3 linked regions of the Drosophila melanogaster genome follow. The gene in region 3 interacts genetically with the main gene of each other region. Each region holds a gene or a part of one and is shown on either strand. Other genes may lie near its edges.

Region 1 (6,909 bases), on a different chromosome or scaffold from region 3:
TTGCAATTTGCTTGAAGATGGTGAATGGCGTTTATTCAAGATTTACAGCTTTTGTTTTCGTCTTTATTTTTGGTGCGGATATCTCTGTCCGGGTTTACGATTGTGTTACCGTACCGAGCTTTACAGAACACAATTGCGATCGGACTTTGAAGCACGTACCTCTGCGTTCGGATACCCGGACATACTTCTAAGTCCACAGACCCACGGAGCTCATCAGTTGGCCGTGGACCGTGCCGTCAGACGCAACGCAATCCTTGCTTCGCCTCGAAGTTTCAGGACATCATGGATAATCCTGGATATGTGATTGACTGCGATCGCGAGTTCGGTGAGTGAAAGAAGCAATGTGGTTCCCCATGGGTTCTACGGTTTTAAGTGAGATCTAATATAACATGGAAATCTGTGTGAAACAAAGTTGTGAAATATATGATGCTAAATACTATAACAATCGTAGTCGTATGGATCAAATGACTGTTTTTTTTTTTTACAAGTGATGATAGTAAAAATATCCCAATGCAACAGTGTTCGTTGAATAAAAAAAAGACCTTGCTTAATTTATTGTTGTTTGCTATGCTTTATTATTGCCAAAATGACTTTGTTTTTCTTGGTATACATATATAAGATATATGCGGTATATAAGATATATATGCGGTATATGCCCATCAGTTACAGATTCAATTCTATATCGTATGCATATCGTTTATACGTATGTTATTATTGATGAATTCAATTCTCGTGTCTTTGGATGCAGATGCAGTTTTACTATCTCTCCCTTTCACTTTCACTTTCTCTCTCTCTCTCTCTCGTCCTCTCTTGACCACTTTCCTTAACTATCTCTGCCGCTTTTTCGCTTAGTGTAGTTGGTTTTTGATAGGTTTGCATTTAGTGTTTAAGTATGTGAATAGAACGAGCCAATGTCACGTCACACATCGGTTATATGCCCCATATATGTATATATGTATATAACCACATATTTGTTCTTGAGTTGAGCACGCCAGGTTTTATCTTGAGAAGCGAAGCGCCTATGGGTAATGCGTCAGCTATTTTTAGGCCACTTTCGTGGGCTTTATAGTGCGAATCTTTGGAGTATCATAAACGTTGTAATTTGGCTTACATTTGTTTATCCGATAATAAAGTTTCAAAAACTAATATTTTGTTTGAAAAACATACGTTACATAGAAAGCCTAAAATGCTTTTCGAAAATATTGAAAACCTTTGAATTGGTTTTTGCCAATTTGAATGAAAAGTATAGCGAAAACTTAATAAATTACATATTTCGAAGTACATAATATAGAATGCATACACCGATATCTGATCATGACATAGTTCTCTTCGCGTGAGGCGACTAGGATTGTGTGTGATTCAATCTGATGATGCTGAATTCTAGTGACATTTATCCGCTTCCCCGTTTGCAAGGGGGGTATACTCCTTGGATGGGTTACTGGTAATTGGTAATTGATTACTAGTTACTGGTTACTGTTTACTGGTAAACTGATTACTCTAGGGTTGGCTAATTATTGTAGTTGGTGTAGCGTTCGCTAGCTGCCTGGAAGCAGTGTCCTAGGTGGGGTGAGTTTGCTGCTGAGCTTGGTGAGGTGAGCCGCCTGTGTGATCCGTGATACGTATTCCGTGATCCGTAATTCGTGATCCGTGATCGCTGATATCGTGTGACTTTCTACTGAAGTGGGTCCCGTATTATGCGTGAGTGTGTGTCCCTTACGAGTGTGTTGTTTTGAATTGATTTGAGTGGATTGGATTGGATTGGATTGGAGTGGAGTGTGGTTGGTACATCGACTATCGTTTAGCTATGGTTTCAACTATCCTTTTGCAGTACATAACGTTTATTAACCTCTATATGTGGCCAGGCCTGGCTACGTATATATGGACCAATTTATAGCTCAGTACTGATACAAGTCAAGACTTATCTATAGCAGAAATGAGTTATACAACCGATCTACTTGCTTTGGCTTTAGTTAACATTATTATAGAATAAGCGAGTACAACTTTTGTTCCTAAGTTCTTGCTATAAAACGTTAAATTTGTTCAATTGCAAACGCATTCTACGCATTAACTGAGATTATATTTGTACCTGTAAATTTCAATATGAAATGTCTAATATCGCTATCAATTTGGAAAACATATCTACTCGAACTGATTAATTGAAATATTTTCCCCATGCTTATGCCAGTACTGAGCTTAACTGAGTTATTTCTCCATTCAAATAGGTATGACAAGGTATTGAGGGTATTATTGCCCATTTGTTAGTCATTTCTTTTTTTGTTTCTTGGGCAGTTACCATTTCTATGAGCTAATCTCCAATTCCGATCTTGACTGTAGTGTATATCCCTCTACATGCATTAAAAAAAAAAAAAAAAAAAAACAATGAACCGCGACGTTTCCTGATCTGGGTGCAGTCCCTTACTTCTCGAAGATCAGCTCGCCGGTGAGAAACGGATTGAGGTAGGTCTGCGCCTCGTAGCCAGAAACCGATGCCGTCGTGGTCCTTCGCCGGCCGCCGGATTGCGCCCCGTTCCGCCTCTCGCCATGGACATGTCCGTGGGCGTGGTGCGAAGGACGCTTTTCGTCGCTGGGACTCAGGATCAGTGGAATGGGCATCGAGGTGTATAGCTGCAGTTGTGGTGCCTGGACAATGGTTCCTGCCGCCGGATTTAGTGGAGCGTCCATATAACCATGTGGCAAAGTGGCCGCAGTGGCCATTGACGCATCTCCTCCGGCTGTGGTGCTCGGCGTGGAGCTGGCCATCGAATTGGCAATGGACAGTTTCTTTTGACCACCGGCTCGGGCTCTATGATGTTTGTAGTGACCGCGATGTGTCTTCCGCTTCAGGTGACCCATTCCGGTTACTTCGACCGGCGGTGAGGTATCCAGGATTAGAGGCATGTGACCCTGCTCCGTTTCTGCATCCAACTGATCACCACCCATAGCGTGACTTATGTTGCCGGGTTGCGGGCTATATGGTCCTAAAAGCGGCTTCTTGGGCGGCTCCCTGGGATGTGGATGGGGATGCGGATGTGCCTGAATGATGGTGGCCGTGGCAAAGACCTCCTGGAAGCGATTGTTTGCCTCCAGCTGCTGCAGTTGGAGATGTTGGCGCTGCAGCAGTTGCTGGCGCTGCTGTTGCATGTGGCTGAGGATGCGGTACTGCTCGAGGATGTGCTTGTAGAACTGCTCCGCGGTCACTTCCGATGAGTTCAGGAGGCGAATGGCTATTTTCTCGGGTATCACAATTTTATCTGCAAGAATCAGGAATCATAAGGATTTAATTAGTTTGTTATTTATTATATAAGTAGTATTTTATGGAAATCTTAACACGTTTCTCATTCAAAATCATATTTCTATGACTTAGTCCAACTTTTTTTACACCTGTTACGATTCAAATATTCCTTGTTGTGTCTTAATTCAAATTTAAGCTGATGCTCCAAATGGGCAAAACTTTTAAAGCGAACACTAAGCATATTACCTTACATTCAGCTCTGGAACAGTGCATTCTCGCTATCATAAATTGCAATTTGTTTGGCTTTCTGGCGTATAACTTTCATTGAGCTCCCAGATTCCGCATTTAATTGCATCAAATTAGATTTATTGAACTGCAAATGGAAAGTACACCAAGAAAAACTGCACCCTAACGTGCTTAGGGCGGTGGGTGGCTGGGTGGTTTCGGTTGGTTTTGGGTGGTTCGGGTGTAGTCGTGTGCATGACACCCCATTGACCCAATTCCGAGTTGATTTACAAAAACTGAACAAAAAGCCAAGAATCAGCGGAAGGAAGGAGGCGGAACAAGCTGAAGCCGAAGCGAGTGGAGCATTGTGGGCGGCTTTTTCACGTCCTTTCCTGAGAAAGTGCTGCCAATTGCGATATTTTGCCAAGAAATTTGGGCAAATTCTATTTCAACGTAATAACAACTACAGAATGCTTGGTAGTAAGCTGAAGAACAATTACATTCAGACCCTTTACTATTTCGCATGCATATAACCATCAATTTAAAAAGGAAAAAAAAAACTTTAATAACTGTCACTTCTTTGAATCAGATATGGCAGTACACTTATCCATACTGCACTTTCCGTTAAAAGCACTTTATAATGAGGCTTCAAAAAAGAAAAGGGTCAACCCTATCCTGCCAGCCATCGAAGCCCATCTAATGGTAATGGCTAACTACTAATGGGTAGTCCAGCCCCAACGTTCACCCTAATACCCATCCCCATCCCCTTGGCAATCGTAATACAGCTAGCTCTTAACTCTGGTAGCCTAGATTCGGGCTTTGTCCCAGATTGACCGCTGGCCGCAAATTACCCGGCGCGTGATTGGTTTCTGGCTTTTTTGGTCACATGGCCAGTGGTCATTGGTCACCGTTCATTGGTCATTGTTCACCGGTTGGCAGTCATCGGTTTATGATGGAGCAGTTTGGCCGTTGATGTGGAGTGTACAGTGATTACACGGTTGACTAACCGCCGCCTTACCGCAATGCGTGGCCTTGGTGACAAAGGGCCGGATGGTGGGGTCCCAGATGAAGATGTAGTATAGGGATAGCATGATGGCCGCCAGTGAAACGCAAAGGACATAGACGGCGACGGTCAGGATGCGGATGACCTTGCGGTTGCTTTGCTGCGGCTGGTAGCATCGGCTTATTGTCTCCGTGGGCGGCAGTTTCACTTTCTCCTCCAGCGAACTGTGTTTCGAGTTCATTTTTGATTCGATCGTTTGTTTTTTGATTGTTTCGATATGGCTCTTCTTGATTTTGGTAGCTTTCCTCTAAAAATTTATTTGAATTCTCTTCACGTTGTTTTGGCAGTGTCCCGTTATAGTCTAGTATTTTGTTTTTGTTTGATAAATGCAAAGTTCTTTTCGGTTCTTAGCTTGCCACACGCGATTAGTTTTACATGTAAATGATATATATTTGATTTGAATTAATTTATTATTGTTGTTTATGCGTGGCGAGCTTAAAAGTACAAAAAAGGGCGCGCAAAAACTTGTCTGCCAACCGACGCGTCGAAAGTGTGAAAGCGAAATGAGAGCAGAGAGAGAGATTCTGGCAGGAGTTGGTACCGTTTTTCGCCTTCGTGCTTTTGCAGTTCCTGCTTCGTGCGAGAGCGAATCGCTCTCTCGCACTCGGTTATTTCTTCCTTCGTGGCAATTTCGGCTGCCTTTGGGGGAGTTTACCATTGCATTAGGCGATCTTCGCTTTTAATTTCATTCATAAAATCCGTCTCTCTCACTCGCGCTCATTTGCATTTTCGGCTGCCCACGCTCATTGTTGTTTCTTCTGCTTCTTTTTTTTTGTGTTCTTTTCATTATTTCGTGGGCATTCCTTGAAGGCGAAATAAAAACAAAAACAAACCGCACGTCGGCACGTTGCCGCTCTTTGTGTGTCAAGTGCAGTTTTCACTCCCCCGAAAATCAGCGCTCCCCTTTTTGCGTTCGATTTACATGCGGAAATTAAAATGCGCGCTTGAATTAATTTTCCATTATTTCAATAATTTCAATGCCAATCAATTGTTGTGCCAATTGGGGCGATTGTTCGCATCGATAAAATCAAATGTTGTGCAATTTCTGGTGGGCTGTTGGTGGGCGGTGGGTGGTGGGTGCCTTTGGTGGGCGTGGGCGTGGCGGTGCACTGCTGGCTTTGACAGCAACCTTCGCAGGTGTCGCGAAGGACGTTCAAACTTTCACACAACCCCACCTCCCCCCACAGCCTACCTTTAACCCGCCGTGCACACCTTCGTTTTCCGTTGCCTTCGGGGGGTTAACAAACTGCAACTGGGTCACTAGGACAAGTCGAGAGAGAGAATGAAAAAGAGCGGCAGAACGAGCAGGAGAGAGCTAACGGAGAGAGCGAAACGAATGCAGCGCTCGGCGAATTGAAATGCAGACGTGCGAGTGAGATGGCCAAACGGTATTGCAATGTTGGCCATTGATTTTGTTGTGTAAGTTCCATACACACACACACACACACACACACAAAGAAAGTGCTGCGAAAAGAGATAGCCAGTCACACACCCACATGCATGTGCAGTTACAGGTTGCACTCCAAAACGGAAACACTGGATTGTAATGCCCAAAAGTATGCTACAAAAACAAAAAATATGTATTTATCGTATGTGTATCATACTTGAAAACCTATAAACAATAACTATTTATGGTCGAAACTTCAAAGTATTTTCTAAAATATAACAGAGCAGTCATAAGTCGCAGGTTCTTAATCAAAAGCTAAAATGGTAAATTTTAACTTTACGTGGTTACGAGGGTAAAACAAAAAAACCTAGTTCCGGAAAGTTCTACTGGCGCACGTTTGCTCAAACAAAGCTCCACTGTACTTGCACTTAAATGCATATTCATCATGTGGGCCAGGATGTAGGACACGCTCACACTCACACGCAAGTTCACATACATTTGCCGAGCAGCATTGTTGCAAAGTTTCCTTCAAGGAGTTTAATTCGCCAACGTGGCCAGGTAGAGCCCTCATCCTGCCTATTCTGGCCTCGAAAATGTTTTGGGCCCGGCCTATTGCATTTGCCATTTTCCATCCCCCCCTTCCCAACAACCATTTCCCACTTCCGTTTCCCTCCAGCCATTTTGCCCATGGCAAGTTTAAGGATGGTTTATCCATCTGCTTACTTATGTGCAGACAAAGCTGATTAAGCAGCTCGGGCAGCCGGAACGATGGGATAACTTGGGCTATGGGCCTTGGTAAGCGAATAAGGGTAAACTTATTCCCCCAACATGCATGATACAGAGTTGGATACACATAATTAAACTTAAACTTTTGTTGGGCGAAAAGTTTCTGGGCTAAGAAACGATGGGCGAGACGGGCGGTTTATCAACTTAATAAGAACTAATGGCATGGCTCGAGTAAATGTGTGTGCAGGAAAGATATTGGCTTTGAATTAATTAGAC
Region 2 (3,278 bases), on a different chromosome or scaffold from region 3:
AAATATGATTTTGCCCGAGAGGCATTTGTCTTTGTATTTTATTGTTTGTGAAGTTAATTTTACGAAATTGGCTAAAGAGTGGGTGCGCGTAGTGTATGTTAGAATGTGGATCTCTTATGAAATTGGTAATACCTAGCTCTTAATCACATACTGACCTCCTTAAATCAAATGATACTTAAGATATCTTCAGCTTTGTGGTATCTTCAAAACTCTACACTTTGTGCCACAAAACGAATACCTGAACACAAGCGATTTGTAGACAGCACTTATTATAAACCAAATGGCATAACTTCCAAGTCAAATACCTAACTACTTTATATCTCCATATAACTATTTTTCACGAGATGCTTCAGATGCAAACTAGCAATGACCAGATCTGGATTGAATAGAGCTTACTTACAGACCAAATCGATATATATTCCATGATATTTATAGAGATTAGTATGTTTATAAAGTTTTGTGAATAGGTTAGTAAGTGAGCTAATGCTGGAGACACACGAATATATTCTGCAAACATTTAAATAAAAAAGCTGAAAACCACAAGTTGGATAAATATTTCTATTGTTGTTCATAATGGTGGGATACAATGTAGAATTCGAATGTAGAGAGCAAGACAATTAAGTATGCAATACGGTTAGTAAGATATTTTATTCTACGAAACTCATATAAAACACACTAAGTATAATTGATACCATATATAATTAATTATAGGATGGGCTATCTTATGTTGCTCGTAACTAGGCAAACATCGAATGGTGGTAGAGTGCCGGTAATCTCCAAGAATCGTCGAAGGATGTGGCAATAGGTGTTTCCCATGGGCGGAGATTCAGTTCCTTCCGCCGGAATTCTAGCCACCTCGTCCGGAGTGTCCAGCTCCCTAACATAATCCATAAAGTTGTCCACATTGATGGGTGTCTCTGCCCTCGTCTTTGCTGGTTCCGTCTGCAACTTTCGCTGGAACTCACTTCTGTAGTAGTCGTTGATCATGGACATCATCCCCTTGGAATACCAGTAGATGATGCCAATCAAGAATAGGCCCTGCATGAATGGACCGACCATATTGTATGCTTCCACTTGATTTACTTATTTGTTCGATAGATCCTTTGGTTTCTACTGCTGATGCTCCTCGCGGAAGCTTTCAAGCCATTGATTAACCATGTAGAATTGCTCCTTGATGTGCGGCCAGGCCATGGTGACAATTAGCATTATGGTATTGGCGAAGACAAAGAGTTTCATCATTTCAAATGCTATTGGAAAGGGGTAATATTTATTAGTTAAATGAACTATATATTTTTAAGGAGCGAAAATTACAGACCCTCCGGAGTGCGAAGATAGTCGCCGAAGCCGGAATTTAGATCCTTGTCATCCTTCTCGTCCACCTTCTGCTCATGCTTATGCTTATCCTTCTCGTCTCGGCTCTTGCCCTTACCACCACCCTCGACTTTATCCTTGCCAGAGTGTCCTTTACCGTGCTTGTTCCTGCCGTATCCCGTGGATGAATTGGCAAAGGCCGATTTCTTCGGCTTCATTGCATCCAGATAGCAGCAGTTGGTCGGTCAGCCTGCACAGCACTGCATTTGATTGGAGTTGGTCCTGGAAGTGCTCTCCGCCTGGTGCTTCCTCGCCAACTGCTGCTCCGCAAATGACACAAACTTTGTGGTGCCAATTGGCGTGGCGCCGCTTCTGGCAATTTTATGGTTTCCATTTTATTGATTTGCGATTTCTGCTTGTCGCTCTGGCTGGGTGGGAATGGTGGGACAGGTGACCAAATAGAAATATGTTGTTAGTGGAGCAATGCGCTTGGATATTTAGCCGGGCATGTGTACTTATTATACCAGTCACACGAAATGTGTGTCAACTTGGTGGATGAAGGTGGTCGCCGGTAGGGTTGGTGTTTGTGGGTTTACATTGGTCCCAAATGGCTCTGGTTCCTGAAAGCTTATTTAAATATCATGCAAACCAGTTTTAATTTATTTAATGCCTTATTCTGCCAAATAGTTTATAATAGTTTTGCATTGATCTAATGTAAGCTTTACATTTTAAACAAACTACGTGTAGATGCCGAACTTTTGATTTATTCCCAAAAGTATGCAACCCAATATACATATTCGATTCGCGATAAGCGAATGTTTAATGAGCTAAATTCGAATACTGTTCGCGAATACTTGACACACACTACAACTAACTTATCAAATACGCCCAGACATATATTAAGTATACGTTATTACGTGAACGCAATAAGTTGCTGTCCCTTGTTTACCACAGCTCCGACCGGTGGCTGCTCCTTGTCCCGCGTGACCAGGCAACATGTGCCAAGGCCGCCCAGGATGACCAGCAGACAGAAGGCGGACAGGGAGAGGGCGGGGCTCACCTGCCTGAGCAGCGTGAGAAAAGAGGCGGAGAGCTGCCACACCCGCGCCCACGTGACGGCGGAGAAGGAGAGGCAACTACGCTGCTCCATTGGCACCAGTTCGCCCAGGCAGGCCAAAATCATGGACTGGGCGCAGGCTACGGCCGCCTGGGGAAGTGATGCCATTAGCAAGCCCAGCGTCAGTCCATACACCTCGGGCATATCCTCCTCGGCCAGGAACCAACAGATGCTACCGATGCAACCGACCACGATGGCAAATCCCCCCGCCCACTGCCACTTGCGTTCACTCAGGTTGAAGGTCAGGTGTAGGGCCAGGAAGCAGCCAAGCATCTCGGCCAGGCCCATGGCCAGTGTGTTGGACACCAGGTGCTCCCTGCCAAAGGACCGCACATGGAGCAGCAGCCCAGTGTTGACCACCATGAAGGTGGCAAGTGCCATGTGCACGGCCACCAAGTGGAAAGTACTCCTACGCTGGCCCATCCACAAGTGCATCCAATGCACGGCGGGCATTGGCTCCAGCATCCTTTCTCTCAGCTCCTCCAACTGCTGGGGTAACTCCTTGGACACTTTGTGCATTCTACCATTGGTACGGGCTGCTTCCAGCAGGATACCCACCGTTCGCTCGATGGCCAGTTGAGCTTCCTTGGTGTGTTGCAGCTGCCAGCGCGGTGAGTCCGGAGTCCAGGGTAGCAGAAAGACAATCACCAGCAAGGAAAGAGTTACGCCCAAGTATATGTGCTGCCAGCTGGGAGCATTGGAGGCCAAGCCAGGGAGCAGAATCAAGCCCAGAGCCCAGAAGCAGTCGTAAAGTATGAGGGTTCCTACGCGATATTTTCCCGCTGTTATGTCACCAACTGAAAAGTAGGTTATTTAATATTAAAGTATTCTTAAATATTCAATTTTACTT
Region 3 (4,678 bases):
CATTTGTTAAAGCAAAGCCGTAAACGAGCGTAAAGTATCCGGGTCGAAGGCCTCATATTGCTTATTAAGTGGCTGCCGGGATGCCAGTTAGGTAACCATTTTGAGGCCCGCGGCAGACGAGTGTGCAAATAATTGAACCCACCACCAGCACCGCATCCAAAGAACCCAAGGAGGCTCCCGATGGGATTTATGGTACCTGTGCGACCCAGCCCAGTCAACACCTGTGTTACCCTGGGCGAAGCCACCATTGGAGCTCGTGATACCCCTCTAAAAATGTCAGGGTTTTTATTCGAACACCCTACACTCGGATAAATGTGGTAGTGTGTTTAACTATTTCTTTTAAATTGAAGGCTAAATATATCAATATACATTAGGTTCTACTCGATTGATACATTCATTAGCTAAGCTTGTACATTAACTTTGAATACTAATGCTCATCCAACACCTGATTGTGGTAAGAGTTTCTTGCAGTGTATCCCTCCCGCCCAAGATGCCATACAGAAACACCACCCACCCCCCCCCCCTCCCTGCTGGGCATCGGAGGCGTGAAAAGCGCTACTCACCTGCGCACATTCGGCATATCGCCGCGCTCGACAGCCAGCAGGAACTTCTTCTCCTCGAGCAGCAGAGGCTGTGGTAATCCCAGCGGCACACAGCACCCGCCCACCGATTTGGGGGCGGAGGAGGCGTGGCTGACGCCAGACGATACCTGGCATAATTTAAAGAGACAGGTGAGCAGGAGCCACATACGTACATGCCGATGTGGCGAGGGGGAAATCGTGTATGCGGAATTGCAAATAAATAAAAAATAAACATACAAGAAAATTAAGTGCAAAGTGGAGGATGCTGGGCTGATTGTCTGGCTTCCATCTAAATGGCATTGGAGGCGTTTAAGGTAAGCGGCGTTTAGCTAATACTGGCGGCTTTAAGACATGCTACTTGCTGGATACGGATCTGGATCGGGATCCTGGATGGGTTTCTACTTACGCCCGTCGGCAGCTTCTTTTTGCGACCCATTCTAGAGTTAGTGCACTTCACTTAACCGAACGCCAGCAGTTCGTAACTAGTATTCCATGTACCAAGTCCAGGGTTCAGAGTTCAAAATCCGACTTCATGTCGCAGGGCTTTGCACACTTGCAGTGAAAAGTGAACGATATTTACATATATGGCATATATATTTATATACACAATGGCAAAGCCAAAAAAGTCCAATACTAAGCCGGGCCACATGCAACTTTCAAGTTGATTTTGCTTTTGTACTCATAGTTGTATAGTCCATAGTTATATGTCCAACTGGGTGTGCTTGTGTGTGTTGGTGTGTGTGTGTGTGTGTCTGGTGGTTTTTGACTTGGTTTATGGTTTCTGGTTTCCGGCGTGCAAAAAGTTTCTATTTAAGCTGTTTATAATGTTTTTCTTTTTATTTCCGCCACTGACCGAGCTGGCTAAACCCTTTTTAAGTGCCATCTGCATGGGCAAGATTTAAGTTTTGCCAATTTAGTGAGTTGATTAGACACTGTGCAGTTTCACTGTTTCCCGACTGTTACTGGTCAATTCCAAAGGCCACACTGAACACCAAATTCGCGAGCACTTATTGCACCACTTATGACCAATTGTTCAATCGGCTTTCTGTTTTGATTTACATTTTTATTGCACTCATCTCATTAGCAACGAACTGCAGTTTGTATTAGTTGTTGCTGCTCTCATTGGATTGTTCACATCATCGCCAATCGTTTCTCCCATTAGAATTAATTTCTTTGTTTCCCAATATTTTCCCACACCCGATGAAAATATTTTTATTTTCCGCTGCCTTCCTCCGCATGTGTGAACACAATGCCAAAATGAATATTTAAGGAGCTTTTTTCGATAATCCGCAAAGAAAAAATGCATTCCGTCTACATGCTTTTGCTTTAAACTGGCTTTATGCTCCTGCGGATGCGGATCTGCATGCGGATATGGATGCGGATGCTGCAGATGCATTTAAAAGTGTTTGGGCTGGTCATAAAAAATGCAAGTGCTTTGTATGCGCGGCAGGCAAAAACTCGGAACCATCATCATGGCGGTTGTTCCATAAAAAACACTTCCGGTACCAACAAAAGGTGGTTCTGACTACCCCAGGAGCCCCGATGGTGCATTGTTTAATTAACTTAATAGAAATATAAGTGCGGAGGACGGGCGAAAATGCGGACGGACATAAAAATGTCGCAATAAATTCGGTTTTATCCGCCACTTCATGGGAAGCGTTTATAAATGGATTTATAGCTGTTCACCTGCACAGCAGGTGCATACTGCGACTGCCCATCGAAATGGGATTATATCTGCACCTGTATATATTATAACAAGTATAAACTATTCGGTTAACATACGATGTAAAATGCATATGATATTTCACTCTAATTTCTCCCTCTGCAGCCGAGATGTGTTAATTCTGCCTGGCACCGATCGAAGTATCATAATTTTGTCGCAAGCGCACTGGAGTTCATTAAAACTAGAACAAATTTTGAGTATTTTACAGAGTTCATAAAAACGAAGGGCTTATCGCGATGGCAGCCAGTTGAATCGAAACTCCAGCAGTCACAGACCACAAGCTCCGCACACACAGCCCCAACTTGACAATCAACGGAAGAGGTAGGAGCAACCTGCAGCTGCCAGGAGCAACCAGGAGCAGTCAGGAGCAACCAGGAGCACAATGAATGAAGGATATAGCCACGTAATTCAGTTGGCTCACGGACTGCACTTAAGCCACTTATAACCAAGCGTACGGATACGTACTTCTTGCATTCCGGCACATAAAAACGTGTGCAATTGTTCGACTCGCTGGCACAATGGACGTTGGAATTTCATGTGACCGGCTTAGGTGAGAGGACTGCGACTATGAATTGTATGCTGGCATATACTTTATAACAATACGTTTGGCCACCGAACTCCCGAATTCCCGTACAATGTGTGTTGTAGTTTATGTATATCTGAATTTCAGCTCTTTTGAAGGCGAAAACCCGCCGAGAGACAACCCGCGACGCAGCCCGAACGTGTGCCACCTGCGAAATTTACACGCTGCTACTAACGCGCAGAAATTTATACCTTTCCCGAGGGCCGAGCGGCGATGTGGCTAATTTAATTAGACTAAAACGTCAAATATTTGTCACCCATCGCATGGATACGCCTGGAGGTTGTCCGTGCAACATTTATCCACACATATATATATATATATATTTCTATAGGTTTATATATACGTTTGTGGTGTTATGAATTGTGGAGGTCGAGGGCTGAAACACAGTATCAACAAGTTTTCGCCAAGTTCGCCTAAGGGGATTAGGACCCAAACATATGTAGGGGCTGGTGCTGAGGTGGGACTGGTGGTGGAGGTGGGGGCCACGATCCAGACGGCGACTGTCGGCAATTGAATTACAACTAATTTGCCATGATTTGATTTGGGTTGCTACAGCTATTGTTTGCCACTTGCTCTTCGGGCTCTTTTCCGGCCACAAACTGCTGCACATTTGCGGATACTTTCGTGCTGCCCAATGCAGCGTGCGTAATTTGATTTGGAAAATTTCAGTTTAGCCTGCAGTTCGATTGACATTGATTAGCTGCTGTTTTCAATATATGTTAATAGCTGCGACTCGAAACATCTTGCATATAAATCTACTGCTCCTTCTACCATTATACACTTGCTATAAATCTGAAATCTACTACTAGTGTTTTCATTGCCTAATTTTTTTATATTGCAATTATTTCATCGTAACGCAGCATAATACTTGTAATTGTTTGAATTCAATTAATTAATTTTTCACTTGTACCGAATTTTTTCAAATGCTGATACCCATTAAACTGATTTCAAGTAAACCTAAAGAGCCTATGATTGTGTTATTTCAATAGTTTGTTTCATTTTCAACTTGCTATTGAAAAGGGTTCCTGGTTCCACTGGCTGCTCCACTTCAATTGGGATACAACGAACTGCTAGACAGTCCAAGAGGGTCCTTCACATGTTCATATGTCTCCGGCAGAGTCAGCCTTTTGACGGGCATAAACAAATTTGCCCAGGCAAATCTAAACTCTAGATACACAGAGGGCATGAGCAGTAACCAACTTGCCAAACAAAGGCGGAATTAAATCAAAAATCTTAAAATGGATTTTGATGAGATGGAGCATAGCGGGTTGTTGGGCTGCCGAGGAGGGCAGGGATGAGGGGAATCCTTTGGCGACAGACAACAATTGAAGCAGATTCCAGCATCAGCTGAAAAGTCGAGGTTTGGGCCGGAGCTTCGCATGACTGCACGTAAACAGGCGAAGCCAAACAAACAAACAAACACCAGATGAGGTTTTCGGGCGGAAAAGAGTGGAGCAGGAGCAGGAGGCGGGTGTGGCAGGTGGGTTACCATGACTGCGTCTTTTATCAAGCTGCATGCGGTGGGCGAAGAGCTCCAGTTCGGAGTAAAAGCATCCTTTAAGGTTCGTCCTGGCTCCAATCTCCCGATTCTCTGGCCGCGTTGCGATATATCTGGCACTTCCCCTGTCTTTTTTTTGTGCTATATCTTCTTGTTTTGGCCACGTGGCTTTTAGTAATACACTCGAAATTTTTGAAAATCACTTAACAAATAAACTATTTTATAATAAATAATACATAAATTAAGTATGAATTTATTACTTCGAAGACATCTAAGTTTGTGTGCTATCTAAA

What was found. Genes that interact genetically often act in the same process or in processes that back each other up.
Region 1: of trpl (region 3) and inaF-D, changing one enhances a phenotype caused by changing the other (phenotypic enhancement), as found in Drosophila melanogaster (one study listed by BioGRID).
Region 2: of trpl (region 3) and Xport-B, changing one enhances a phenotype caused by changing the other (phenotypic enhancement), as found in Drosophila melanogaster (one study listed by BioGRID).

Annotation. Positions count from the first base shown.
Region 1 is NC_004354.4:11,724,114-11,731,022, forward strand, and holds inaF-D (inaF-D), read right to left. Parts: upstream 4,987-6,909; 5' UTR 4,702-4,986; coding exon 4,476-4,701; intron 3,252-4,475; coding exon 2,416-3,251; 3' UTR 555-2,415; downstream 1-554. Other genes in the region: CG15221 (uncharacterized protein), read left to right, coding at 283-325.
Region 2 is NT_033777.3:19,913,766-19,917,043, forward strand, and holds Xport-B (exit protein of rhodopsin and TRP B), read right to left. Parts: upstream 1,648-3,278; 5' UTR 1,530-1,647; coding exon of another isoform or gene 1,316-1,529; 5' UTR 1,312-1,315; intron 1,248-1,311; coding exon of another isoform or gene 1,111-1,247; 5' UTR 1,060-1,110; coding exon 718-1,059; 3' UTR 555-717; downstream 1-554. Other genes in the region: Xport-A (exit protein of rhodopsin and TRP A), read right to left, coding at 1,111-1,247, 1,316-1,529; CG4465 (uncharacterized protein), read right to left, coding at 2,225-3,225.
Region 3 is NT_033778.4:9,752,069-9,756,746, reverse strand, and holds the start of trpl (transient receptor potential-like), read right to left. Parts: upstream 3,051-4,678; 5' UTR 2,908-3,050; exon of another isoform or gene 2,770-2,907; intron 1,134-2,769; 5' UTR 1,018-1,133; coding exon 988-1,017; intron 710-987; coding exon 564-709; intron 455-563; exon of another isoform or gene 1-454. UniProt on the Drosophila melanogaster protein: A light-sensitive calcium channel that is required for inositide-mediated Ca(2+) entry in the retina during phospholipase C (PLC)-mediated phototransduction. Required for vision in the dark and in dim light. Binds calmodulin.